Linked DNA regions of Cricetulus griseus. The protein of the gene in region 1 interacts with the protein of each later gene in a biochemical or structural test. Links are inferred from orthologs where the notes say so. Each region holds a gene or a part of one and is shown in the gene's direction. Other genes may lie near its edges. The genes, in order: Hdac3, Ep300, Pparg, Hif1a, Gtf2i, Nr0b2 and Nr2c1.

Region 1 (4,218 bases):
GCCCATGTTGGGGCGGCTCCAGGCCAGGCTGTGGTTCCGACATGAGGCCCTGGGGGGCGAGCGCGGGCCAGGGCGCCTCCTGGGTTTAGTGGGCTGCAGCTGGGTACCCGCAGAGTAGGAAGGTATCTTAGGATCCGCAATAAGAGGTCCGCCCCACCCCCGACCGAACCTAGGAGCTGTCCAGACTGAGGGTGCTGGTCGGCCAAGACCGCCACAGGCTGGAGGCCAGATGGCATCTACGAAAGCCCTCTGCCACGACCCAGCCCCACTTTTCTGACATCCAGACCGCTATTTTTTACAGCTCATCCCGCGCCCCCGTCCCTTCCAAGGACACTGCAGCACAAGGTGGGACGAAATTCTCAAACAGCGAGCTCAGAAAACACGCTGGAGTCAGTGTTGATACCTCCTCTACACCGGCCTGAGTCAGGCCTCGTACAGCCCCCTCCCCTCCTTGCATTCCTGGGTCCCCTCTTTTTCGTTCCTCCCACCCTGGCCACCTGGCCCACCCGGTACCGGTGGTTTGGTTCTGTCTCCCGCTCCGGTTCTGGCTCGGGTCCCGGTTCCAGGGGCGTCCTCGTCCGGCTCAGGGCCCCCGACGCCCTCCCGGAGCTCATCCCTTGCTTCCTCCCCCTCCCCCCTATGCCGCCTCACCGGCTCCGGGCTGGTGGCTGCGGATACCGGTGCCGCGGCAGACGGGGGGAGGGAAGGATGGCGGAAGATGTGGACCGGTTGGTTGGGAGCCGCGGCAGGCTCCGGACCACTCCTGCCCGGGAAATGGAGGAGATGGGGGAGCGCCTCTGAAACTGTCTTGGGTTCCCAAATGCCTATCGTGTCACGGGCCCGGGACCAAGGGGCGGAGCACAGGTGTGCGGGGCGGAGAGCGTGAGCCTTACGCGTGTGTGAACGCAAGTGAGATGTGCGCGTGACTGCGCCGCCCCCTCCCCCAGGAGGAATGTGCGGCGTGAGTCTGGGTCCTCGTGGGTGGTCGGGAGGTCAGGCGGGGCTCTGGCCACTGGTCTAGCCCTCATGTCTGGCACAGGTCCTGCCCTCACATTCCCCGGATGAGTGGAAAGCCAGCAATCTTCCTAGCGCCTGGGAAAATCTGGCTTTCTACACCTGAGAGAGGCAGGATGCCCAGACCTTCCGAGGTTCCTAGAGAGGGAACGCTGCCCCAAGACCCGTTTGGGGCTAGTGGGTGGACAGAATGACTCGGTTTCCCGAGGATATGACCCTCGTCCAGAAAGAAACGGCCCTTGTGTCCTATGAATAACGCCGCGGGTCCCGCCCAAGCACGGAGTCTCAAGCCTCAGAATCCGGACCGGGACAGCAAGGGAAGGGGCGGAGCTCCCACAAGGGGCGGGACTCCCACTAGGGGCGTGGTCTGGATGTGATCTTGGGAGGCGGGGCCGAGGGCTCTTTTCCGCAGCGGTAGGCTGCGTGCTTGCGCAGCACGCACGGCGGGGGTGGGGCTGGCGGCCGGCGGCGGTCGGGCGGCTGAGGCTCGGGGCCTGGTCCCCCAACATCATGGCCAAGACCGTGGCGTATTTCTACGACCCCGATGTGGGCAACTTCCACTACGGTAGGGCACAGAGTTGTGCGGGAGGAGAGGTTTCCCGGGAAGGGCTGCAACTCTAGGGGTGGGAACTGACCAACTCTTTCCTTCCCTATCCCCAGGAGCTGGGCACCCGATGAAGCCCCATCGCCTGGCGTTGACTCATAGCCTAGTCTTGCATTATGGTCTCTATAAGAAGATGATCGTGAGTCCTGACACTTCTGTGGGGGTTTGGGCCTGGGAGCAAGCTGCGGCCTTAGGCTAGGTGGGCTGGATATACCAGGTGCAACCTGCCGCTAGAGGGGGAGCAGGATAGAAGGCACCGTGAACGTTTCCTATATGCATGGCGGTGGTGGTGGTGGTACTGAGTCGGGGGTGTCCCCTTTCGTAATGGGACATACATTTTTGACCTTAGATGGGACTTCCTTTTAACTTGAGGGGAGACCAGCCTCTGGCCTAGGGTTAGGGCGACAGGCTCATCCCTTCACTTCATTTATTTAAGTGTTAGTGAATAGAATCCAGGGTTTCACACGTTAAGTGAGTACTTTGCCACTGAACTACACCTCTAGCCCCTCTTCTTTGTAGAGGGGATAGTGGTTCAGGACCAAGGATGAGGGTCTATTTTCTAATGACATTTCACCCATAATTCCTTCGCCTTCTCCTCCTCCATTTACCTGAAAGGAGCTAGGACAACTCTGCACTCCTTTGTGGTGTGTATGTGTAGAGAATATGGGAATTTACTTTTTTTGTCGTTGTTATTGTTGTTTTGAGACAGGGTTTCTCTGTAGCCCTGGCTTTCCTGGAACTCACTCTATATAGACCAGGCTGGTCTCTGAACTCAGATCGCCTGCCTCTGCCTCCCCAGTGCTGGGATTAAAGGTGTACACCACCACTGCCTGGCAGGAATTTACTTTTTAATATAGAATGTATCTATATGGTTCTGCTCAACTCTCCCATCTCTCATGTAGCAAGCCTGGCCCTTGTGTACCATGAAGGTATTCAACATGTCATTGGTGTGTTTAGGCGCAGGCAGTGGTTTGGGTGTACAGTAGACTGAGGTGGTATTAGTGCAAGTCTGAATCCCCTAAAATTGTCTGTGTCCATTTATCCGTTTTCTAGGAGAGGAAAAAAAGTGTTTCTTGCCCAATTTTCAAATCATTGTTTGAACTTCCACCTCTACCCCCACCGAGGATAATAAATCTTTGGTTTAGGACTTTGGATTTCAGTTAGATTGTCATATATCTCATGGATTTGATCCCATGGTGAAAAACCCAGAGAAGAGACCAGAACCTGAGTTTAAGAGAGGAGATAAGTATAGAGGGAACCAGGACTGAGGAAGCTAGGAACAGGCATGTGGGCCAGGAGAAGTGGGCTGGGAAGATAGAGACTGGGCTGAAGAGAGGAATTAGACGAAATGATCCTCAGGGGTCTTGATAAAAGTAGCTTGCCTGGCTAATAGCATCTCTTCTTCACTAAGGGATGGGGGTAGGGAGATTGTTATATATGTTTTGGACAGTCTCCATGGCTGGGTTCAGTGTAAGTGGTCTCAGCCTGGGGCTGGCATAGTAATGCCTGGGTTTATTGTTAGGTTTTGCATTCAAACTGGGCCTCCCGGCCCCCGACCCCTTCCTGGAATTCTGGAACCAGTAACAAGACCATGTGTCAAATGAACAGTGAAAGGGACTTTTATTCTTGGTCAAGAATATAAATGAGAGATAAACTTTACAACTCTTAGGAATCAAGAGGTTACAGGTATGGGGGTTAGAGTGATGATTCAGTGGGTCAAGGTACCTGGCTCCAAGCCTGGTGACCTCAGTCTGAACTCTGAAACCCACATGGTGAAAGGAGAGAATTGACATCTAAGTTATCCCTGGCTTCACTGTGGCATGCATACCTACCTACCCCCCTCCCCTGCCGCACCCCAGTGAAATAATGTAAATCAATTTTAATTAAAAAAGAATTTGTATAGAGTGAAAAAGGAGGTAAGAGAAATAGACTGATAAAGAAAAGGATTTTTTTTTTTCCCTGAGACTGGGCAGAAAATTTCTGGGAATTCAGGCACTCTTCTCTCTCTTTTTGCTTTCCAGTTGTTACCATGGCAGTTGTTCCCTGTCATGGAATTGGGAGTATCATTCAGTGTTTTGGTGGGATTATAATTAAGTGAGGTCTTGTCTAGTTGGTCACTCTGGTAGCCTTCTTGGGCTGATCCTGTTTGGCTGGCCTCCCTGAGAGGAATTTCTGCCTTATAGGCATCCTGCCTTCAAGGGTAAGATCAGGGTAGTGTAGAAATTCAGCTAGCATCTAGGCAGTGCTCAAGGTAACAACTTCACTTTTGTCTCCATTCTCCAGGTCTTCAAGCCTTACCAGGCCTCCCAGCATGACATGTGCCGCTTCCATTCTGAGGACTACATCGACTTCCTGCAGAGAGTCAGCCCCACCAATATGCAGGGTTTCACCAAGAGCCTTAATGCCTTCAACGTGGGTGATGACTGGTGAGGGAAGCACCTCGAGGCCAGGCTCTTCAATGAGGCCTTGTGGCAGCAGTAGAAGGAGCCTACTAGTCAATAAATTATCATTCACTCATTTGATTGTTCAGTAAATATGCACGCCTTTGAGCCAGCACTCAGGAGGCAGCAGCAGGCAGATCTCTGAGTTTGAGGCCAGCC
Region 2 (3,500 bases), about 180 Mb from region 1:
TCCTGAGTTCAATTCCCAGCAAACCACATGGTGGCTCACAACCATCCGTTATGAGATCTGGTACCATCTTCTGGTATGCAGATATACATGGAAAAATACAGTACTTGACCATCTGGTTCCTAAAAGCAAACCTCCCTGAAATAGTGAGGAGTGATTTTTTTTTTTTTTTTTAAACTCCACCCCAGTAGGATCTCACTATGTTGTACAGGTTGGTTTCTAATTTGGGGATTGGAGGTACACACCTCTGGTTGACATATCAACTGGTTAGTTTTTGTGTTGTTTTTGGAGTGTCAATGAGGGTAGGATATTACTCTATTCTAGACTAGCATCAAACTTCAAGCATTTCTCTATCCTCAGCCTTTGTTTGTTATTTAAGACTATATACCTCTGGCTGTCTTGGAACTCACTGTATAAACTAGGCGGGGCTCAAACTCACAGAGATCGACCTGCCTCTGCCTCCTGAGTGCTGGGATTAAAGGCGTGCACCACTATGCCTGGCTAAAACTATTCTTAAATAGTTTCTAACCACCATGTTCACAGTCTGGGAACCAGAGATCATAAAATTTATATACTGTATACATTATATAGTGAACCAGCCTTTAAAAGAGAAGAGCCAGATATGATAACACTAGGGAAGCAGAGGCAGGTAGAGCTATGTGAGCTCAAGGCCAGCCATAGCCATGTAATAAGACCCCATTTCCAGAAGGACACACCTTTAATTATGAAGTAGAACGTTCCTTACATACAACTGAATTTTCTATGACCAAAGAAATACAGAAAATGAATTTTGTTCAAACATCAGATTGCTATATATTCAAGTTATGTTTTGTATGTGTATTTTTTCTTATTATGTTTATTTTCTCTCCTTAGTACAATAAATAAAGAACAGTTTTCCAAGAGAAAAAATGACACGCTAGATCCTGAACTGTAAGTAGTTTCCTCTGAATTGTCAATGCACTCTAGGCCTTTTTTCCAAGATAACTTAATTTTGGTTTTTCAAAACAGGATTTCTCTGTAGCTTTGAAGGCTGTCCTGGAACTCACTCTTGATCAGGCTGGCCTCAAACTCAGAGATCCACCTATCTTTTCCTCCCAAGTGCTGGGAGATGACTTACTATTGTTTTTTTTTTTTTTTTTTTTTTTTAAGTTTAATATTCTTATGCTAACATCTCCATGTCATAAATGTTAACAGCTAGTAAAAACATATGAAACATTCCGGGGCTAAGGCTATCACCCTTACAGTTAGTGTTCTTTCAGTGTTCACTGTCAAGTATCACACTACTACTGCCCAGGGCTGTGCTCTCTCCTGCATTTCCAGGGCATGTGGAGAATCCTTAGCCACATGTTGGCTTTCTGAGCCTAGGGCACTGATGAAAAGTACAGGTTCCTGGGATTGGGGATATAGCTCAGTCAGTGGTAGAGTTCTTGAAAGCAAGTGCAAGGTCCTGGATTCAGTCCTTAGCTTCAGGGGAATAAAAAAAGTAAAAAAGCAAAGGTTCCTTCTGGTTACTCTGAAAATGGGGTGGGATGACTCTATAGTCTCAGCAGTTACCTTCTCTCGGTCTTTGGGCATTGAAATTTTAGATTGTTGATTTAACAGCTATGCGTTAATGGTTTTCAAATTCATTTAACCTATTACATTAAAGCCAAAAATCTTGACTAAACTAATTTTTTAATCCTTTGGCAGGACAGGTGGTTGACTATTGAATTGTTAGAAATTACAGGAAACAATGAACATTTTGTTTGCTGATAATTCAAGATCAGTCTTAGAATTGATCATTTACATTTCTAGGTTTGTTGAATGCACAGAATGTGGAAGAAAGATGCACCAGATCTGTGTTCTTCACCATGAGATCATCTGGCCATCTGGGTGAGGCTTAGGACATGGGCAGAAGTATTTTGTTCTCTTTCCATGAGCATTCTTATCCAAGACTGTATTATATGTTCAAAGTTATTGTTTGATTGTGGTCAAGTTAGGGTCTCACTATGTAGCCAGGAACATGCTATGTAGACTGGACTGTCCCTGAACTCGAGAACCCTCCTCTGGTGCCCTCAGAGTCCTAGGATCAAAGGTGTGCTACATTACTGTATCTGGGCAAAGTTACAGTCTTCTAAGTATTTTCTTTGGGATCAGAATATGGCTTACTGGTACAGCACATTCCTGCTACAAGTTAGGCTCTGGGTTCTATCCTAATATTGCCAGAACTTTTTTTCTCCTTCAATTAGAAAAGGATCAGTCCAAACCCTTTTTAAAACTATAAAGAGCAACTGAAGAGTTGGCTCACTGGATAAAGCACTTAAAAGTGTTTGGACACCCAAAAAAAAAAAACAACTGTAACGGCTGGACAGGCATGGGACCCACCTGTCATCCTTTGGTAGGCAGATACCCATACACATTTAAAAAAAATAAAGAAAGAACTTAAATCTAGACAACACAGTGAGAAACTGTCTCCATAAAATAAAGGAAGGAATTTTAATGCTGATATTAAAGCTACTGTAAGCTATAACTAAATTTGCCATACTTGAAAATGTTTACTGATAGTACATTCTTTAAAAGGGTATAGGTGTTGGTATAAAGCCATGGACTACATAGTCCTCCTTCATGTGACATCATAAATTGGAATGGTATGCAGAATGACTCTGTGGGGCTAGGAGACCAGTAAGTTACATAGCTGTACTATGGTAAAGATTAATTAGAAGTCAAATGAGATTCAGAAAGGGTACTTCTCATTTTGTAGAGAGGAGCTGATCTTTTTTCCCAGGGGGGAAAAACAAGTTAAGAGATTCAAGTTTATGTCATAGGGGCTAGGATTTGTTCACTGTGGAATGCTCTCTTATTGAACTAATTGACTTTTATGTTATAATAAGCTGTATCATGAATTACATTTTAGGTTTGTCTGTGATGGCTGTTTAAAGAAAACTGCACGTACTAGGAAAGAAAATAAGTTTTCTGCTAAAAGTAAGTATCATTTGAGATAATTCTTATTTAAAACTTATATAGCCAAGTAGTGGTGGTTTGTGCCTTTAATCCCAGATGTCTATGACTGCTAGTGAATATGAAACCAGCCAAAATTAGTTTTCACTGTTTGTTCCAAGTGTTTAATCCCTGTATTCCAGAGGGAGCTGGATCTCTGAGTTTGAGACCAGTGTTGGCTAAGTAATGAGACCCTCTATAAAAAGAAAAGAAATTTTTTAACCAAAATGGAATAATTCTTTTTGTTGTTGTTGTTGGGTTTTTTGTTGTTGTTGTTTTTTGAGATAGGATTTCTCTGTGTAGCTTTGGAGCCTATCCTGGCACTCACTCTGGAGACCAGGCTGGCCTCGAACTCACAGAGATCTGCCTGCCTCTGCCTCCCAAGTGCTGGGATTAAAGGCGTGCACCACCAACGCCCAGCAAAATGAAATAATTCTATATACTGAACTATAAAAAAAAATCTTTAAAAGGGATTTTTGTTAATTTTTTTTTTTTCTGTTCTGACACATGTTAAAATGTGGGCCATA
Region 3 (4,225 bases), on another chromosome or scaffold:
AATCTCAAAGGTTGTGAAAGGTGTTACTGAGGATGACACCTCCACATGCACAAGCGTATATGTGAGTGGGCATGCATGCATGCATGTATGTGTACACACACACACACACACACACACACACACACACACACACACACACACACAAGAAAACTGCAAATCAGTAACAAAACACCAAAGATCTCAGTCCAAGACAATGCACAAAGGCTATCATAGCTATTTCTAAAAAGAAAACATACAAATGGTCAACAGGTATATGAAAAAAGTATTCAACATCACTAATCCCTGGGGAAAATGCAAATCAAAGCTACAATAATATATACTGTTCCATACCTGTTAGAATGACTGGTACATAAATTGATGAAATTATGTGGAATAACAGAAACCTTTTTGGAGATGTATACTATATACTGTGAAGACATTATAGAACACATGTGGAGATCTCAGAAAAATCAAAATTTCCATGTGATCAGCAGTCCCACTGCTAGACATATGACCAGGGAACTAAAACCACTATGTCAAGATTTTTATGCTCCTGCATACATTATGTCACTATTCGCTATAGCCAAAAGATGAAATCTATGTAAGAATCTAAGACACATAAACAAATAAAAGCAAACAACAAAAAAACCCTCTGTGGTATGTATATACACACATATGCCAAATATACACACATGTATATACATTCACACACATATACATATACTGGAGTATTGTGTGGCCTTTTAAAAGGAAAATTCTGTCCTTTGTAGCAATATAGATGACCCAAAGAAACATTATGCTAAGGGAAATAAGCCAGAAGCAGGAAAGCAAATACCATACATCCTTCCTGGTTGCTGAGGATTGAGCATAAGGGAAATGGGAAGACTGGACAGAGTTTCCATTAGGCCCTGGAGAACTGATAGACAACAAGATGACTACAGTTAGCAATACTGTATCATATAGTTGAAATTTGCTAAGGAAGCAAATCTTATGTTTTCTCAACACAGAGACAATGACAATTCTACAAAGTGATGGGTATGTTAATTAAATTGATGATGACAATTATTTCACAGTGCATACTTATATCAAAACATCGCTATGGTAATCATTTAAATACTTTATCAGCTATATCCTAATAAAAGTGGATGAAATTTGAAGTAAGAGAAATAGCCATTACCAGATCCAGCTGATGACCTGCTGTAAAGGACAATGTGAGCAGAGCTCACATTTAGATGGATTTGTTCCATGTAGCTACACACTGTGGGTGTCTGCTTTACTCAGGTAAAGGCTAACTTCCTTCTCACTGTAAAGCCATGTGGATGGTGCTAGGAAGACATAATGCACTCCTCCCTCCCTGGGTAGTCTGAGTGAACTCAGCTCCCTCTCTATGCATTCTTAGAGGACTGCTTTCTCCTCCAGAACTTGACTCATAGTCTGTTCTTTTGTCCATTTCAGAAATTACCATGGTTGACACAGAGATGCCATTCTGGCCCACCAACTTCGGAATCAGCTCTGTGGACCTCTCTATGATGGATGACCACTCCCATTCCTTTGACATCAAGCCCTTTACCACAGTTGATTTCTCCAGCATTTCTGCTCCACACTATGAAGACATTCCATTCACAAGAGCTGACCCAATGGTTGCTGATTATAAATATGACCTGAAGCTCCAAGAATACCAAAGTATGTTCACTTTTCAAATGGCTAAGAGATACATGAAGACAGCACATGTCTCTTCCCAACCTTTTTTCCCCTTTCCTTCCCTTCCCTCCCTCCTTTCCTTCCTTTCTTGATGCCTTCTTAGGAGCGTGTCTAGCCTGATTACATTGCCAGTTGTATCTTAGGCTTAGTCCATCCTGTAAACTTTGAATTCTTCCAGCTTCTTATTAGTTAATAAATCATAGTTGTAGACCAAATGACTGGTCACCACTAAGTTACTATTTACAGTTATATTTTTTTCTAATCTGTAGTTTGTGACATTTACATTGTACAAATTTACATTTTTAACACTGTAGCTGATTGATAGATCATCATGCCATTAAGTAAATTACCATCAAACATCAGACTTTAAAAAAAAAACAGAACTGAACTGAACTTTTCAAGATAAAGTATCATTTCTGTGATGCTGTTTCCTTGATTTTTATCTTGTGGGTTGATGTGCTGGTTTTCCAGAGTCACCCCTGTGTCACTGGCAATCATTACCTGATAATAAGTAAGAACTTCCTGTAATTTCTAGTTGTTTTCTTTAGATAGATAGTATACGTGGTTGTATTTATCTGTGTGGTTCTGGGTTAAGGCCAAATATGGAAATTCATTAGGCCTGAACTACCAGCAAAGGCAATAGGTTTCTCCTGCTCTCTATCACAGATCACTTTACAAACCACCTTTTGACTCAACTCTGTTGATAACCTGCCACCTCAGGCTGCAATTTTGGCATCTTCTCAGCCATGTTCCTTCTGTTGCTTTTTCAAGGAAGGTTTAAAACTACTTCTAAAGTGCAACATTTCAATGAAACCCATAATAACAGAATGAGTGCCAGATGCAGCCCATCCTTTTGCCAAATAAGCTGCATGGCTTCAAACCCTGAGCAGTGTCTGTAGGGTATGTGGGAGAGAGGGGGCAGACTTAATTCCCTCGATCTTAATTCCCTTCCGGATTTATTTGTGCAGGTGAGGTTCTGGGGTGTTGGGACTTGCCTGAGATGATAAAGTCTTACTTTTTCCTATCTGAGCACCAGTGCATTTTCATGCTCCCCAGCACCTCTCCTCCAAGATAGTAACGTTATGGCATGAAAATATGAAGGCCACCATGGGAAGCCACGGTGCCTTTTTAGGATTGTTTGTCATGAGATAACCATCTTCTCAAATTTCCCAATACACAGGTGCGATCAAAGTAGAACCTGCATCCCCACCTTATTATTCTGAAAAGGCCCAGCTCTACAACAGGCCTCATGAAGAGCCTTCCAACTCTCTCATGGCCATTGAGTGCCGAGTCTGTGGGGACAAAGCATCAGGCTTCCACTATGGAGTTCATGCTTGCGAAGGATGCAAGGTAAAAATAGAATTTAAAAAAATCATCCAAGAATTTTCTGAAATTTTACCTATTCCATTTCCTGTTGCAAACTCACTGTAAAAAAAATTAAGATAAAATAGTAATTTTTTTGGCAGAACTCATTCTTCAAGTAATATAATATTTGAAAAATCTAAGAAAAGCTGATAAAAGTGGGGTTATTCTGCCTCTCCTCCCCTTCTCCAAAATGACTCTTGAGACACTCATCCAAGTGTATCTTGCAGAATTTTTTTTAAAGGACTTGTCCAAGATGTCATAGAAAAACAGTGAGTGGTGAGCCAGCATCAGAACCTAAGTTCCCTGATTTCCCTAGGGTGGTTTTCGCCATGCTATGTAATCTCTTATACGCGTACGATTTGACAGATTATATTTGTGTATCATTTGATCCATAGACTAATGCTATAATATTGAACGTATTTCTACATTGTGGCTATAGAAATTGTGAATCAAAGGCATGGGGTCACCAGAGTGAGGGCTGCCATGGTAGAGCAGGTGCAAGATCGTAGATTTCACCCTTAGGAAAAGCAAAATTATGGATTAGTAAGGTTTGTTCCTACCAAGCCCTAAGCTAGTACTATGTTTCCTTGGCCCCGTGTCAATCTAAGCCTGTTCAATATGCGAAAAGAGATAACTATGCACTTCCTTTGTGAAAGAGTACTTTAGGAAGTTAGTGATATGCTGCCCCAGTTATAAGGAAAATACATGAATAGATTCATGTTTTTATATAGTTTTAAAATAATCTTAACATACTCAGGGATAAAGTAATATTTATCATGTGCCCATAGAATGCCTTGCCTTATAAATACTGGGGGTTTGGTAGTGCATGTCTTTAATACTAGCACTCAGCAGCAGAGGCAGGAGAATTTCTGTGAGTACAAGGCCAGCCTGGTCTCCAAACAAAATAAAACATAAATGAATGAAGTAAGTACTGCTTCACTTGAGCTTTTCCTGGGTAATAAAGACGAAACACACCAGGCAGGCATGTGTTAGTACTTCTGGGTTCCAGATGGACAATAGGCCAAAAAGGGAAACTAGTTTTTATTAAATTCTTACCCCCAGCAGATAGTACGCGCGCGCGTGCGCGCGCACGTGTGTGTGTGTGTGTGTGTGTGTGTGTGTGTGTGTGTGTGTGTGTGTGTGTGTGTTTTGCCAATATTTAACCACATTCTACAAACAT
Region 4 (3,500 bases), on another chromosome or scaffold:
CCAAGGTAATGATCAGATTATGCCAATTTCTTATTAGAAATGCATCAGTTGTTTCTTGTAGGATTGTAGATGGGAAGATTTTTATTTATCAAAAGATGCTGTACATTCTGGATGTGGTGGTTTATGTCTGTGATCTCAAAACACTTGGGAGGCTGAGACAGGGAAGTCACCAAAAGTTCAAAGCCAGCCTGGACTACATACGGACTCCAGTCTAGTCAGGACTTTGTAGTCTGTCTGTGTCTCAAAAAAAAGAAAGAAAGAAAAAGTGTGCAATTAAATCTAAATATAATAAAATGACAAGCAAGTTATTTACCAGAAGATTGCCCACAGGTTAGGTTTTCTCATTGTGTTTTCATGTCTAGAATTACACCAGAAACATGAATGTTTAATTAAAAAGTATTTCATTATGTTGGAATTTTATTTACGTGTGTAAAACTATGTAAGAGCAATTCAAATAATTTTTAGGGCTAGATGCACCTCCACACTCAGCGGTAGCATGTGTGAGTGCATGTATGTGGGTTCATGTGGGTCACAGCACAAAGGTAGAGGACAGAGGACAGTTTGTGGGAGTTCATTCTCACCTTCCACCACGTGGGTTCCAGAAACTGAATTCACGCTGCCAAGTTTGGTAGCAGGTGCCTTACCTGATGGCCCATTTTAATGGTCCTGGATGCTAGAAATGTGATGTAAAGGTTTTCTTAAAATTGGGCAAATTTTTTTCTGTGTCTTGATTCTGAGGTGGTATAGAGCAAGAAATTCTTAGCAAACATTTAAAACTGAAAACTAGTACAAATCACCAGCTCCAAATCACCAGCACCAAGATGGGGTAGGGAGGACCTTTGTCTAGCATTGTGAGCCCCCATATCAGGGTTCTCAACCAGTGAGTCATGTCCCTTTTGACAGTTGACAGGCCCTTTCACAGGGGGCCCAAGACCATTGGAAAACACAGATGTTTACATTATGATTCAGAACAGTAGCAAAATTAGTTATAAAGTAACAATGAAAATAATTTTATGATTGGGGGTCACCACAACATGAGGGATTGTGTTAGAGAGTCTCAGCAGTAGGAAGGTTGAGAATCACTGCTCTAGATTTAATCCCTACTACCATTCTGGGATGAAGGAGAAAACACATATTTTTAAAGTATATTTTATTTATCTTTGTAATGCTGCCATCTAGTGTTGGTGTATTTTGGTTATCCCTTTTTGAAGAGTCAAAGTTTGATTTATGCTTCAATAAATCTGCTTTGTTGGTTTTAGAGTAAATGGCAGATCTTAAACTGTAACAGCTAAGCTATATTATTTAACATACTGTTATGAACAAAGATACCTTCCTTATGCCCATTCTGTAATTAGGTGTTTGCTTTTTAGACATATGAGTATCTTTTACCTGCACCTTGGTTTTTTTGTTTGTTGGCTTTTTTTAAGTCCTCTGGAATCTAAACTGAGAAGTGTCAACACTTGGTTCATGTTTGTTCCCAGAAAGACTTCAGTGAAAAATGTTTGTAATTGGTTTAATGTGACGAGGACAGACTTGTCTTTCTCATAAAATGGGTCCTCATGGTTTCCAGGCTGATACCCAGGGACCAGGAGGCTCCCTGAATCCGTTTTCAGCCCTTTTTCTTTTAGATGCCGTTCTTTCATGTGAAATCCTCTTAATTTTAGAAAATTAATATTTACTTTCCATTTAGTATGGATGTCCTTGGCTTAATAGTGAAATTTTATAGTTGATATTAAAGTGAGGCCTTGCCACAGGCCTAAAAATAGGGTAAAGATTTTCACTGAATGAAAAATAAACTGCTATAGATTTATACTGTATTTTAAGATAATTGTGACTGTCTTTGGAACTTTTGTCATTTCATTTAGCATCATTAAGATTTACTAATATACCCTGCTTTGATACCAACAGTGTGTATAATGAAATGTGTTTTAAAAAATAGGTCATGAGTTTGGGTAAAAGGGATAAGTCAGATATCAGGGACTGATCTAAGTGACTTTATACTAAGTACAGAATTTGGGGTTTTTTTGTTTGGTTTGTTTTGCCGGGGGGGGGGGGGGGGGATGGGGTGTTTTTTGGTTTTGTTGTTTGGTTTTTTGTTTGTTTTCTGAGACAGGGTATCTCTGTATAGCCCTGATGTCCAGGAACTCTGTCAGTAAACCAGGCTGGCCTCAAGTTCACAGAGATCCACCTGTTTCTGCTTCCAGAGTGCTGGGATTAAAGGAATCCACTGCCCAGCCAAAGTATAGAATAGTTAAGTGTGAGTTCTAAACTTATTAAGCAAAAGATAATCTTTTTTTTTTTTAAACAGAATTACTGAGTTGATGGGTTATGAGCCAGAAGAACTTTTGGGACGCTCAATTTATGAATATTATCATGCTTTGGACTCTGATCATCTGACCAAAACTCATCATGACAGTAAGTACAGTAGAGGAACTCAAGGAAATAGTGTCATTGCTTAAGTCCTGCAGTCTGTACTGTACCTCTACTTTCTAGTTAAAATTACCACCCAGTCTCCTTAGACAAGCATCCTACAGCCCCTTCATAAGATGTCTTGATAATGAAATTATTGTTTTGTTACAAATATTAGCAAAAAGTAAAGTCATTTAATAATAAATACATAAAGTATCCCATAAAAGTCAAATATTATAGATTATCTAGCCTACGTACATATGTACTGAAATCAGTGGTTGGTCAATAGGAGGTAGTCACAAAGCATTTGTTCATGAACTAGTGAGTAGGATTAGTATACACATGTGATAACTGACACCCTTGACATATAGGAGGTTTCTGAATTTTACTCAAATAAATCTATGATACCAAACTAAGTTAAACTTCATAATTCCTCACTTGCCTATTTAATCTGGACCTAAACATGACTTCCCAATATGATTGAGGGTACTGAGTTGAGTATCATTGAATTAGTGTAATTTGCCTTGAACTACAGAGTATGCCTAAGTTGTAGTCAGAGCATGGATACTCACAACGGCATCATCATGATTGATTTACTACATTCTCTTAAGTCAGTAATTAATTTAGACTGCATGAATTGACAGAAGGCTATAGTATGACATGAACTTATATATTCAAATGTTCTGAGTATAATTTTTTACAGTGATTGGTTCTCTGGTGCTTAAAAAAACTGGTACCATTTTCTTTCTTTTTTTTTTTCTTAAAAAGAATTTATTTAACTATTTTATGTGCATTGATGTGAGATCTCCTGGAACTGGAGTTATAGACAGTTGTAAACTGCCATGTAGGTGCTGGGAATTGAACTCAGGACTTCTGGAAGAACAGCCAGTGCTTTTAACCACAGAGCCACCTGGCCAGCCCCTTTTTTTATTTTTGAGACAGGGTTTCTATGTAGCTTTGTAGACCAGGCTGGCCTCGAACTCACAGAGATCTGCTTGCCTCTGCCTCCTGAGTGCTGAGACTAAAGAGGTGCACCACCACTACCCAGCTCCATTTTCTTAAATGTACCCTGTGATCAGTCTCTAGTCTGA
Region 5 (4,102 bases), on another chromosome or scaffold:
CTACATCAAAAGACCGGCTTGCATGGAAAGTTTTCCAGCAAGCGACAAAGAGGCTGGGAGGCTGGAAAAAGCCTTGTGGCCGCCACCTACCGAGAAGCAGCGGGTGGGGGAGGGCGCCCGAATACTCGGCTGGCGTAGGGGGTGGGCAGAAAAAGAGAAAAAGGAAAAAAACAAACAAACGAACCAACTCCACAAATTCACTCAATTTAGTGCTCTGCATTAACAAGTTCTTCAGACACGGGCTTTTCAAACTTTTGCATTTAAGTTAGACGAACAGTTAGTTGTTACTCTCTAAAGTCACTGATCTTACCAAATAGTTGAGAAGTAAAAAAATATATATATATAATGGACGGAGGGGCTTTAAGTTAAATCTCTTTGTAGTTGTGGGAACAATTGGTATTTTCCCAGTTTTCTTTCTAACTGTAGAGGTGTGCAAAAGACTCGAGAGAGGAGAAAAAGAAATCACGAGTTACCCACCCCCTCCCATCCGTTGTCTGTACCAAGTTAGGGCAAGTTCGTTCTGGTTGCTTCTAAGGCCAGCTTTGAAAACATTGAGTTCTTTGTGTACGGGAGCTGGGGGACTTCCCTCTGCAAAACAGGCGATAGTCCAGCCCTGGGGCTCCCCTGGTCTTTGCAATGTCCCCAACTTTGCAATTTGTTAGGGAATGTAGGTTGCAAACAGTTATTTAAGTGGAAGTTGTGGCCTGCAGCAGAAGCAAGGTGGGGAGGACACACACACACCCCACTCCCCTCCCCCATCCGGACGGCCGCGCAGGCCCCAGGTGCAGCCATGTTCTCGCTCCCACCACCCGCGCTCCTCCATCGACAATCCTAGCCGGAGAGGGCCGGGCGCCGCGGCGCTTCGCCTCGGCCTAAAGGGGGGCGGTGGGGAGAGAATCTGGGTTCATCGCGCAAGGCTGTCTGGGAGTTATAGTTCGGGGTACCCACCCGCCGTGTAGGTGAGCGCCAGTCTAGAACTACAACTCCCGGTGGGCGGCGCTGCTCGTGCGCACGCGCAGCGGCACCTTCGAGGAACAAAAAAAAAAAAAAAAAGCAAAAAAAAAAAAAGGGGAAAAAAGGAGGAGGAGGAGGAGGAGGGTGAGAGAGAAGCTCGGAGAGCAGAGAAAAGGGGGCACCGGCGCCCCCCCGCTTCCCTGCACGCGCTCGCCGCCTGCCTGCCGCGCTCACCCCCGGGCTCCGTCCCTCCGTTTCCCCCCGCGTGAGGCGATCCGAGCGAGGAGCGAGGCCCCGCCGGGGGCGGCCATGCGGCGGTGACAGGAGCGCGGCCGAGACGCAGGGCCCCCCTCGCCCTCTCACCTCCACCCGGCTCGCCAGCTCGCCTCCGCCGAGGCCCCTCCGGCCTACGCCCGCTCGCTGTCCGCGTCCCCCCTCCCCGACCCGACCCGACCCTCCCCGGCTGCACTTCGGGTGAGTCCCCTGCCCTCGCGTCCCCTCCGGCCTCGGGGCGCCGTGGCCGACGGGGGCGTCTTTATTCCGCACTCTGCCCCCGTCGGGCTCGTGCGCACCGCCCGGGGCGTGAGAGTTGGGGTCGCCCGGCGCGTTGTGAGTGACGGCGGGGACAACTTCGGGGTGAGGAAGAGGACGCGCCGAGACCCCCCTCCCCCCCTAGCCCACTCCACTCGGGGGCCTGGGCAGCGGCTTTGGGGGGGATGGGGCGGCTGAGGTGGGGGGCCGACGGCAGTTTGCACGCGCGCACCCGGGGCGCGTGGGGGAGGGCTCGCGGCGCTCTGCGCGTGCGTACGTGACAGACAGACGGGCGCGCGCGCGCGTGGGGGGGTCGCGGGACGGGGAGGGAGGGGCGGTCTCGCGCGAGCAGCCCCCCGCGCGTGAGCGAGAGAGCGAGCGCACCCCGCGGGGCCGCGCAGCCTTCTCCTTCGCTCTGATTGGCCGATCCGGCTTCCCGGGGGCGCGCGGTGCCGCGGCCCCTCCTGAGTGAGCCCCGTGGGGTCGCGCTCGGGCTCGCTGTGTGCGTGCGTGTGTGTGTATGTGTTTGTGTGTGCGCGCGCGCGCGCGCGCGCGCGTGTGTGTGTGTGTGTGTGTGTGTATGTATGTGTGTGTGTGTGTGTATGTATGTGTGTGTGCGTGTGTATCTGGGGCTCGCAGCTCTTAGGGCAGCAGACCGCGCGCGATTGGCCGGCGGGCACCACGGGGCGGGGCGTCGTCGGTGCCCTGGTAACTGCGGCGGGGGCCCTGGCAGGGGGGCGGGAGCTGCTAGGCTCTGTAGCCTGCGCCAGTGCCAGCGCCCGCCCTGGCCGGCCGGCGCTCCGCCCTGCTCCCAGGTGGAGCGCAGCCTTGTGGGCTTTGTCCGAAGCTGTTGCCTTGGGATCCCGCGGGGACACGACTTTTCTTTTGGCGGGGGTGGGGGGGGGGAGTAGGGGGAGAGGAGATGGAAATAAACACAATGACCGGAAGGAAGACTTTAGTCTTGAGGCTGTGGAAATAATCAGTCTGCGTCGGGGTAACTGGGTACAAAAGAAGGGATGGAAAAAAGTTTACTCCTGCACCTCCATTTCTTTTTCAAGTTTCTACCTTTTATTGGGGGTGCGGGAAACTTCAGTATGCCTGGTTGGTCTGGAACTTATAGAGATCCGCCTGCTTCGGCCTGGCGGGTGCTGGAATTTAAAGGCCGGTGCAACCACGTCCTGCCCAAGTTTTGCTTATTTTTTTTTTTTTTTTTTTTTTCCCAGACAGGGTTTCTCTGTGGCTTTGGAGCCTGTCCTGGATCTAGCTCTTGTAGACCAGGTTGGTCTCGAACTCACAGAAGTCCGCCTGCCTCTGCCTCCCGAGTGCTGGGGTTAAAGGTGTGCGCCACCAACGCCCGGCTGTTTTTTAATTTTTAAGTAAGGTATTTTGTATCTCAGGCTACCGTGGAACTCGCTTTGTAGCTGAGGCTTGCCTTGAGCTTCCGATCCTTGTGAGTGCTGGTGCTGGCATCACAGGTCTAGCTCTCAAGTTTTGTCCGCTAGTACATCTCGGTGCCTCGAGGCTTTGTGCTCCTTGACTGCTGAGAGTGCAGATCTGAGATGGTGCTGGTGGAGTGCCTGCTGTGTTTGGGAACAGGAGGTGAAGTGTGAGGCCATTGCATCCCGGCTGCTTGTGTGCTAGCTGCTGGCTCAGCCTGCCTGATTGTCTCTGGGCGTTTACAGGGCAAAAGGGAAGCTGGTTTGCAAATAAGGGGGTGCGGGTACGGTACCCACAGGCACCTGGTTTTGGATGTGGAATGGCTGATACTTCCTACACCAGGGTTTTTTTTGTTTGTTTGTTTTAAGTCTGTTGCCTCGGGCTCCTTTATGCCTGAGTCTCTGGATCTTGCCTCACACCCTGGAGGCACGGAAAACTTTCTCACTCATCTGCGCTCATTTCTGTAAGGCCTTTTATGTTGTGGGATTATGAGTTCTTTTCTTTTTTGCCCTGTTAAAATGTGGATCACTTTCTCTTGTCCCTTGGGTCGTCCTTGGGTAGGGGCATGCTAGTACCCATATTTACCATTTTGGAGTATGAAACACAGTAGCATGCGCCTTATTCAAGCACTCCTATTGAGCAAAGCTCTCAGCACCTTGAAGATGGACTGGCATTCTACCATTAAGTCACACTCCACCCCTGTTTTACTTTTTGAAATAGTCACTAAGTTGTCCAGGTTGGCTTTGAATTACCTCTGTATCCCGGGTCATCTTTAAACTTGTCAATTCCCCTGTCTCAGCTGCTTGAATAGCTAGGATGATGGACCTTAGGGGGTTAGGTTTTGTCTTTGTCCCTTTACTTTTTTTTTTTTTTAATCTATATATTTATTTTACATCCCGGCTTCAGTTTCCTTTTCCTCCCCTCCCACAGTCCCCTACCTTCCACCTCTTTCCACTCCCCCATTTCTGTTCAGGGAAGGGCAGATCTCCCATGGATATCAACAAAACATGGCATATCAAACTTGCAGTAAGACTAATACCTCCCCATGTATTAAGGCTGGGTAAGGCAACTCAGTATGAGGAGTGGCAAACTCTGGTTAGGGCCCAGTCTCCATGTCCTCTGCCAGGTGCCAAGTGTATGGTGCCATAGCAGCTGTATTTGAATATGTTTTCAGTGGCAG
Region 6 (4,015 bases), about 180 Mb from region 1:
AGGGCTCCTCATCCGGAGCACCAGGTTGCCCAAGAGTGTGGCGACAACAAACCTGCTAGGCAAGGCTAGCCAAAGGTCAGGAACCTGACACAGCCAAGGACCTCCCATTTCCCTCATACCTCGCCTCTAACCACTGAAGACAAATATCCAGGGCAGAGAAGCGGCGTGTTAGCAGAGATGTTTCCAGTCGCACCATAGGTGGGCCACACCTGCAGACCAGGCAGGGGCTGGGGGCTGGGAGTGGGGGTAGCTGCTAGCCACCTGTGCTGGGAAATTCACACTTCAGCTGCACAGTTGATTGGGGGGGGGGGAGGGGCAAACAAGGATGACTTCGAGGTCAGACATATCTGTGCTCTGTCCCTTCTGGTTGGAGTGACTTTGAGCAGGTCACTTCTCTGGGAAGTTCTCAACATTACAAGGGAAAGTGATCCATATAGAGTGGGTCCTCAGTAACTGGCAGCCTTGTAAGTAACAATTTTGCAAGGGCCAGCAGGCCCAGCCCCTCTGGAGCTATTGGAGCACAGAATGGGAGCAGGGGGCTCTGGAATGGCCTTCCTCCAACGGGGCCTCTGCACTGGAGTCACAGGAGGGGGTACCTCCTAGACTGTACAATGAGCAAAGTCCCCCAGGGACCTGGCTCCCTTCCCTGCAGCCTGTTCCTTACCGACAACAGGAGCAGAGCCCCAAGGTTAGGCAAACACAGCAGCGATAAGGCACTTCCAGGCTGGGTCAGGCATTCAAGGCCTTAGCTGGCTTTCTCTGGCTGGCTCCTTGGCTCAGTGAGAACCCTGGTCTTGTGTGCATGAAAGTGGGCTCCAATCGAAACAGCAGCAGTCACAGCCACTGGCTGGTTGAGCACCTGAGACCTTGGTGCCCTGGTACAGCCTGGGTTAATGACCTTGTTTATACACTGAGTCATCCGATAAAGGGCATCCAGGCAGTGGGCAGGTGGCCCTGTGCCCTGCAATGGCCACTTCATTGACTAAAGCGATAGCAACGCCACGTGGAGCTCCAGTGCCCCTCCCCCTCCGGTCCTGCCAGGGTCAGTGTATGTGTGCATTGTGTGTGTATGTTGGCTTTTTTTTTTTTTTCAATGAACATGACTTCTGGAGTCAAGGTTCCACGGCCATTCCCCCTCCCGCCATCGAGGATATAAATAGCACTCACAGTACAGAGGACCGATAGCTGGGAAGAAACAGGAGCGAGATACCAACCATGAACTCCAGCCAGTCTGGGGGCTGCCCCTGCCAGGGCTCTGCAGGCCGCCCTGCTATTCTGTACGCGCTTCTAAGCCCCAGCCTCAGGGCCAGGCCCATTGCACCCGCATCTCGCAGCCACTGCCTCTGCCAGCAGCACCGGCCTGTCCGTCTGAGTGCTCCACAGCGCACCTGCCGGGAGGCCTTGGATGTCCTAGCCAAGACAGTAGCGTTCCTCAGGAACCTGCCGTCCTTCTGCCACCTGCCCCATGAGGATCAGCGACGGCTGCTGGGGGTCTGCTGGGGCCCTCTCTTCCTGCTTGGGCTGGCCCAAGATACTGTGACCTTTGAGATAGCTGAGGCTCCAGTGCCCAGTATACTTAAAAAAATCCTTCTGGAGGAACCCAGCAGTGGTACGCAGGGTACCCAGCTACCCGACCGGCCACAGCCCTCACTGGCTGCCGTGCAGTGGCTCCAGCGTTGTCTGGAGTCTTTCTGGAGCCTTGAGCTGGGTCCCAAGGAGTATGCCTACTTGAAAGGAACCATCCTCTTCAACCCAGGTGAGCTCCCAGACACTCCTGGATGGGGGCCACGCTGGGAGGGGACAGGACCCGTCCAGGAAAAGAATCGTTGTCTCTTTGCGTCCTTGTTAGCTCCAAACAGGTATCTCCCAGGAGAGACAGGGAGGTTAAGCAACTACCTGAAGGCCACACAGTAAGGCAGAGGCAGAACAGGCCTGGGAATGCAAGTCAAGCTAATGCAGAGATTGGTCTTTGCCGCTGTGCTGGAAGGGTAGAGTGGGTAAGGCAGACACCGCCGTGTGCAGTGTCTGCCTTCTTCAAGGGCAGGCTGCACAGTGAAGTTCTGAAGGTTAAAGTCCTCCGTGGGTTCAGAGCGGCCACACAGAAAGAATGGAAGGGTGGGGAGTGGTCACTTCTTGGGTGGAGAGCAGATGGGGTGGGGTGAGGGGCGATGAGGAGAAATGAGGCGGTTTTACCACGGAACCCTGGCTGGCCTAGAACTCACTACGTAAAGCAAGTTGACCTCAAACTAACACCATGCCTGGCATGGGAAAATATTCTTTGTAACTTTGAGGAAGACAAGAGACAGGCCTTGGAAGTTAAAGTGTAACGCCAAACGGCAGTAACAGTACCAAAGAATCACATGCATTTCCCATATGTCAGGACTTAGCCTAAGGGTTTTACAAATAGTGATTTGGTTAAACCTCACAGCAGTAGTGGGCAACAAGTATTGTCATTGTTCCCACTAGATAGATGAAGAAACTAAGGCACAGAGATTTAAACTACTCATCTAAGGTCACTCAGAAAGATGAAACTACTTGTCCAAGATCACTGAGCTCACAGTGGCAGTGCTGGGATTCAAATTCAGCCAGCCTCGAACTCACAGAGATCCGCCTGCCTCTGCCTCCCGAGTGCTGGGATTAAAGGCCTGCCACGAACAACCGGCCTCTGGTTCTTTTTTGGTTTTGGCTTTTTGTTTTGTTTTTTGAAACAGAGTTTCTCTATGTAACAGCTCTGACTGTCCTGGAAGTAGCTCTGTAGACCAGGCTGGTCTTGAATTCACAGAGATCTAACCGCCTCTGCCTCCCAAGTACAGGGATTAAAAGTGTGTCACCACCTCGAAAATCTGTCTCAAAAAACAAAATAAGAAAAGAATTATTTAGATATTATTTTATGTGTGTAAGTTTCTACCTGTATGTATGTGTATCATCTGGTGGGAGCTCACAGAAGCCGGAAGAGGGTGTCAGGAATTGGAATTATAGGCAGTTGTGAGCCACAATGTAGGTGGGAACCGGACTCAGGTCCTCAGTCATAGCAGGAAGTGCCCTTAACCACAGAGCCATCTCTCTAACTCGTATGTCTCAGCCCTTATCTCCACATAAATGGAATAAAATGTAGGAGATGGTGATTGAAACCTCCAAGGTGGCAGAGTGGGCCAATGCGTGGAACTCATTAGTAAAGTATTACCTCCCGAGCTACAGGTCCTGGGTTTGTTGCCTAACACCACCAAACAATTAGGTCTCTTCTGTATCTGTAAGGGCTGGGAATGTAGTTCAGTGGTACAACTATCGCCTGGCATGTTAAAGGAACCAGCAATGTTCAGCCCAAATGTAGAATGCCTGCCAAGCATGCCCTAGTATGCACGAGGCCCTGCATTGCACCCCGGCATATGAGGGGGGGAGCCACTAACATTCTCACACCCTGGGCTAGCCTCCACGGAGCAGCTGCTCACCAGCCCTCTTCACCCTCTCTGCCACAGATGTGCCAGGCCTCCATGCCTCTTGCCACATCTCCCACCTGCAGCAGGAGGCTCACTGGGCCTTGTGTGAAGTCCTGGAGCCCTGGTACCCTGCTAGCCAAGGCCGCCTGGCCCGAATCCTCCTCATGGCCTCTACTCTCAAGAACATTTCATGCAGCCTTCTGGTGGATCTCTTCTTCCGCCCTATCATCGGAGATGTTGACATCGCTGAACTGCTGGAAGACATGCTTTGGCTGAGGTGACCTGCAGAGTGGAATCCAGGGCTTCCAAAGGGGAGCTTCAACTCCCCAGGAGCAGCCCTCACCTCAGCCATGCCCCCAGCTTGGACTTCCTTGGTTTGGACACAGTATACTAACTGCCTAATAGGTCCTTGGTGGCCCCCCAAAGTCTTTGGGCCAGGGACAGAGATGGGAGCATGAATGAGGCTGTACTTCAGGCCAGAATTCCTCCTGACTTTGTATAGAACTCAATTAAGTTATTGATTTTTGTAATAAAAGGTATGACCTGCTGACACCACGGTTGCCTATGGAAGGGGCAAG
Region 7 (3,961 bases), on another chromosome or scaffold:
GAAAGCTCAGGCTTCCAGGATCTTAGCCCAGGACCTCGGCCACCCCAATCACAGAATGGAGGTGAAAGCTTGATGCAAATTGCATGAGGCTTTATTGTTGTTTAACGAGCTAACCCCATGTTAGCTCGGGTCTTTGATCCACCCGCCATGTCAGATGGCTAGCAAAGACAGTTTGAAGCCGCTGCGTACAGATCTTTATAGGGCAGCATAAGGGGAGTGTCTAGGGGTATGCACAGGCTCCGGATTGGTGTGCCTCCAGGCTTGGAGGGTTTGCCCTTTGTTGATTGGTCAACTGGTTAAGGCCCATAGGCCCTCCCAGGTGGTTGCTATGCTCTGTGTGTCATTGCTGTGTGGTTGTCTGTAAAGCACACCTAGAGCCATTAAGCATAGCACCACCAGCTAACTTCTGATTGGTTCCTTGCCACGAGGCAGGCATCTGACCTCTAAGTGACCAAGGCAAGGTTATAGCAAGCATGTGTTCGGCCATTATGGCTGCCGAAATGGGCAACTGGCTCCTTCACACCCAAGTACAATTTGACGTGATTTTGCCTCCGCTTGTTCTCATATTGCAGGGAAGTTGTATGTGATTGGGTTCTACCCAGACTCCTTAACACACTATAATCTATGAGAGTGCCTATAAAACCAAGTCCAGTTTTGCAGAGATCAAAGACATCTATCCCAAACTGATTAGGTTGTTTACTGTTACTCAAAACTTCCTTTAAGGGGCTGGAGAGATGGCTCAACAATTAAGAGCACTGGCAATTCCCAGTACCCATGTGGCCACTCACAACTATCTGTAACTTCAGATCCAGAGGATTTGATGGCCTCCACCAGCACCAGGCACACTTGTGATGGATGCACAGGCGTAAGGTTCAGGTAAAACACCCAAATCAATAAAACTTTAAAAAAAAAAAATCCTACAGCACTGGAGAGGAAGGTGGGAGGACCACGTGTTAAAAATCAAGTCTGGGTTTCCAACAGGTCGGGTTTCAAAAGACTTTCGAATTTCTTTTTTTTAAGATTTTTACTTTATGTGTAGGGTGTTGGGCCTGGACGTATGTTGGTGCACCAGAAGGGGGCACCAAATCCAATGGAACCGGAGTTACAGAAGGTTCTGACCGGTCGGTCCTGTGGGTACTGGGAATCAAACCGAGATCTCTGGAGGAGCAACAAGTACTCTTAACCATCGAGTCATCACCCAGCCCTCGGTTGTCGTTGATTTCTGATTATGCATGTTTGGGTATGTGCACACTGACTGCAAGTGCCCTCGGAGGCCCCGGCGCAAGTTGCAGGTCTAAGAACTTGATGCTCAACTCGCAGGACATCTGACCGACACGCGGCGGCGGAGGCGGCGGTCTCCCTCCGCACCTGCAGGGGGCAATCGACTTCCAGAACCGCCGCTGGACTCCGGGGCCTTCGGCTTCACCCAGGGAACGTCACCGCCGCTGGCCGCTTCGCCACCGCGCTAACGCGCAGGCGCCGAGCGCACCGCGCACCGCCGAGCCGAGGGAGGGGTCACGAACTCTGACCCCCACCCCCAAATCCACAAACCCAGAAAGCTCCCCTTGTCCCCTTGGCCTCGGCTACCCTCGCGTCAGCTCTCTCCAGCCCAGCGGCCGCCGCGGCGGGAAGGGTAAGTCGAGTGCGGGACGGCCCAACCGCCAAGCGTCGCGGCCCGGGGGCCCGAGCGCCCGAGTGTCCGAGCGCCCGGTTCCCCGAGTGCCGGGAGGTAGCGGTCCGCCCGAAGCTGCGGGAGCCCGGGCGGGGACGGTGACCTTTCACCCTCGGGGAACGCTTCCGTCTGGGCGCTGCTTCCTCCGCCCCGGGGCTGCGCGCGTGGTGGGTGCTGGGCAGGGAGCGGCGGGCCGCGGACCCCGGGGCTACGGGGTGTCGCCCTCCGCCCACACTTGATTCTTCTTCCACCGAGGGAACGTGCAACCGTGGCGATTGTATCTAGGAGGAGAGGTGGCCCATGCACTGGGCTCATCCCAGCTCCCGGTAGCCCTTTTGTTAAGAGTCCTGTCTCCAATTCCTGCAGGTGGCATCTCATGAAGGGCAGATATTGGCAGGTTGTCCCTTAGCCTTCAGTAAGCAGGTCAGCCTGAGTTGGAAAGGACAAGCAAAAAAAAAAAAAAAAAAAAAAAAAAACTTGAAGTTAAATCGTTTTAGGGCTTTCCCCACCCCCTGAAAGTTAAAAGTATGCTTCAGACATTGAAGGAGGGGTTTTGTTTTGTTTGTTTTTTGTTGTTGTTGTTTTACACAGTGTCTGCTTGTTTACCCAGTTGGGTAATTGTTTTTAAAACTTTATGTGTCCACTTTGGTGAATTTAGAAAGACATTATTGATCTGTTCTATTCAAACTGCAAAGATGAAAATCGTTTTGGGAGAGTGCTTTAGGAATTGTAAGTTTGGGGGATAAAAATCCAAGTAAATGAGAGAAGATTCCAGGAAGGTGAGAAACGTGGAAATTTATTGTGGACCATTTACTATTGATGACGAGCACGCTGGACTAACATGCTGGGCGACCCACAGGAGGAGCCAGGCTGGGGAAGCACCCTGTAATCCCAGTCCCCTGGAGGTTAGGATCCAGGCTAAAGATCGCCTGGAGTTCTAGGCCAGACTGGTTTAGAAGCTATGTATCCAAACCCCAGAAGACCTGTAGAAGATAAAGGAAAGGTAGCATGTCCTTAGTATCAATATGTCCAGTAACCTTTGACTGTGCATCTTGAACCTTTGGATACAATGTAATTTTTCCATTGGCGGTCATTCCAGAGGTCTGTGGTGGAAGGGTGGTGGTAACCAAAGTTCATGTGTCCGGCTCATTCTGTACTGCTTCCTCAGTCTGGTTTCAAACTCCTAACTCTTGTTTCAAAGCTGTTTTCGTGTTATTTTCATTGTCATTAATGAAGATAAGTATGTCTGTTACCAAAACAAAACAGAAACACGTGGTGCCAATAAATGTAACTGGTTTCATCATTCTGTGTGACACAGTTGAAAGATTTTGAAGGGGACAAATCCATGGCAACAAACCCTAAATAGCTACTGTGGTGTGATGAAGTGTGTAATTCCTATCCCAGTGATAGCCAAGGCAAACATTATACAATAAGTAGAAGACCGTCTGTGCTCTCACAATCAATTCTCTCTCTCTCTCTCTCTCTCTCTCTCTCTCTCTCTCTCTCTCTCTCTCTCCCATTTCTAGAAAAATGGGACTCTGTTCAAAAATTTTAAGAATTAACAGACGTTTGCTTGAGTCCCACTCAACTCTTCTTGTACACTGGATCATTCAGAAATAGTGTGTAAAATGGAATTTGAACCAGGTCTCAGAGATAAAGTAGGAGATTGAAATAGGGTATTGAGGATGTTGCTTTCCATGGTTTCTGTTCATCGTGATAAACTGCTAAAATGTTATCTTAGTGACTCCTACGTAGGGAATCCCTTGGACTTACATCGTGCTTTGTAAACCTGTTGACATTTAATATTGGAGTATGAAGGAATATGAACTTTCGATTTTCTGGGGAGGGGAAGATCCATTAGATTTTCAGAAAAGAATTAATTTATATGTATGGGTGTTTTGCCTGCATATCTGTGTGGAGGGTGTGTAGTGCTCTCAGGGGCCAGAAGAGTTGTCAGATCTCCTGGAACTAGGTGGGTGGAGGAACTGATTTTAGGCCTTTTGAAGGACATCTTTCCTGCCTGAGGAGGTTGTTTTTATTTATAAAATCATCTCTATGTAAATGTCTCAAAAGAGCCAGTTTTTACCCTGTTGTTTTCATGTTAGCTTTTCTAGTAAAACTTTGGATTTTATCTTTTAACATAAATATATTTCAGTTACTTCCTTGAAGCAACATTTTTAAATAATTGAATTTAAAAATAATCTGGCAAATGTCTTGAGAGCCATAAATCATTATGAAAAAAATGAAGCTTATGCTCCATCAAAGACATAACTTTATTGTTCAATTTCA

Evidence for each region.
Region 2: the proteins of Hdac3 (region 1) and Ep300 form a complex in vitro, tested with the Homo sapiens proteins (2 studies listed by BioGRID). The link is inferred for Cricetulus griseus from reciprocal best matches to the Homo sapiens genes HDAC3 and EP300.
Region 3: the proteins of Hdac3 (region 1) and Pparg form a complex in vitro, tested with the Homo sapiens proteins (3 studies listed by BioGRID, with this or other methods). The link is inferred for Cricetulus griseus from reciprocal best matches to the Homo sapiens genes HDAC3 and PPARG.
Region 4: the proteins of Hdac3 (region 1) and Hif1a form a complex in vitro, tested with the Homo sapiens proteins (2 studies listed by BioGRID). The link is inferred for Cricetulus griseus from reciprocal best matches to the Homo sapiens genes HDAC3 and HIF1A.
Region 5: the proteins of Hdac3 (region 1) and Gtf2i form a complex in vitro, tested with the Homo sapiens proteins (2 studies listed by BioGRID). The link is inferred for Cricetulus griseus from reciprocal best matches to the Homo sapiens genes HDAC3 and GTF2I.
Region 6: the proteins of Hdac3 (region 1) and Nr0b2 form a complex in vitro, tested with the Homo sapiens proteins (2 studies listed by BioGRID). The link is inferred for Cricetulus griseus from reciprocal best matches to the Homo sapiens genes HDAC3 and NR0B2.
Region 7: the proteins of Hdac3 (region 1) and Nr2c1 form a complex in vitro, tested with the Homo sapiens proteins (4 studies listed by BioGRID). The link is inferred for Cricetulus griseus from reciprocal best matches to the Homo sapiens genes HDAC3 and NR2C1.

The regions. Positions count from the first base shown.
Region 1 is NC_048595.1:199,688,234-199,692,451, forward strand, and holds the start of Hdac3 (histone deacetylase 3), read left to right. Parts: upstream 1-1,418; 5' UTR 1,419-1,524; coding exon 1,525-1,579; intron 1,580-1,674; coding exon 1,675-1,757; intron 1,758-3,901; coding exon 3,902-4,044; intron 4,045-4,218. Other genes in the region: Rell2 (RELT-like protein 2), read right to left, coding at 1-43. UniProt on the Homo sapiens protein: Histone deacetylase that catalyzes the deacetylation of lysine residues on the N-terminal part of the core histones (H2A, H2B, H3 and H4), and some other non-histone substrates.
Region 2 is NC_048595.1:378,783,365-378,786,864, forward strand, and holds part of Ep300 (histone acetyltransferase p300), read left to right. Parts: intron 1-870; coding exon 871-927; intron 928-1,791; coding exon 1,792-1,869; intron 1,870-2,890; coding exon 2,891-2,958; intron 2,959-3,500. UniProt on the Homo sapiens protein: Functions as a histone acetyltransferase and regulates transcription via chromatin remodeling. Acetylates all four core histones in nucleosomes. Histone acetylation gives an epigenetic tag for transcriptional activation.
Region 3 is NC_048601.1:29,399,470-29,403,694, reverse strand, and holds the start of Pparg (peroxisome proliferator-activated receptor gamma), read left to right. Parts: upstream 1-1,425; 5' UTR 1,426-1,442; coding exon 1,443-1,662; intron 1,663-2,860; coding exon 2,861-3,030; intron 3,031-4,225. UniProt on the Homo sapiens protein: Nuclear receptor that binds peroxisome proliferators such as hypolipidemic drugs and fatty acids.
Region 4 is NC_048598.1:129,464,591-129,468,090, reverse strand, and holds part of Hif1a (hypoxia-inducible factor 1-alpha), read left to right. Parts: intron 1-2,308; coding exon 2,309-2,415; intron 2,416-3,500.
Region 5 is NC_048597.1:113,419,601-113,423,702, reverse strand, and holds the start of Gtf2i (general transcription factor II-I), read left to right. Parts: upstream 1-1,302; 5' UTR 1,303-1,428; intron 1,429-4,102. UniProt on the Homo sapiens protein: Interacts with the basal transcription machinery by coordinating the formation of a multiprotein complex at the C-FOS promoter, and linking specific signal responsive activator complexes.
Region 6 is NC_048595.1:19,710,461-19,714,475, reverse strand, and holds Nr0b2 (nuclear receptor subfamily 0 group B member 2), read left to right. Parts: upstream 1-1,215; coding exon 1,216-1,756; intron 1,757-3,476; coding exon 3,477-3,718; 3' UTR 3,719-3,980; downstream 3,981-4,015. UniProt on the Homo sapiens protein: Transcriptional regulator that acts as a negative regulator of receptor-dependent signaling pathways. Specifically inhibits transactivation of the nuclear receptor with which it interacts.
Region 7 is NW_023276806.1:160,157,024-160,160,984, forward strand, and holds the start of Nr2c1 (nuclear receptor subfamily 2 group C member 1), read left to right. Parts: upstream 1-1,161; 5' UTR 1,162-1,633; exon of another isoform or gene 1,634-2,101; intron 2,102-2,709; exon of another isoform or gene 2,710-2,918; intron 2,919-3,961. UniProt on the Homo sapiens protein: Orphan nuclear receptor. Binds the IR7 element in the promoter of its own gene in an autoregulatory negative feedback mechanism. Primarily repressor of a broad range of genes.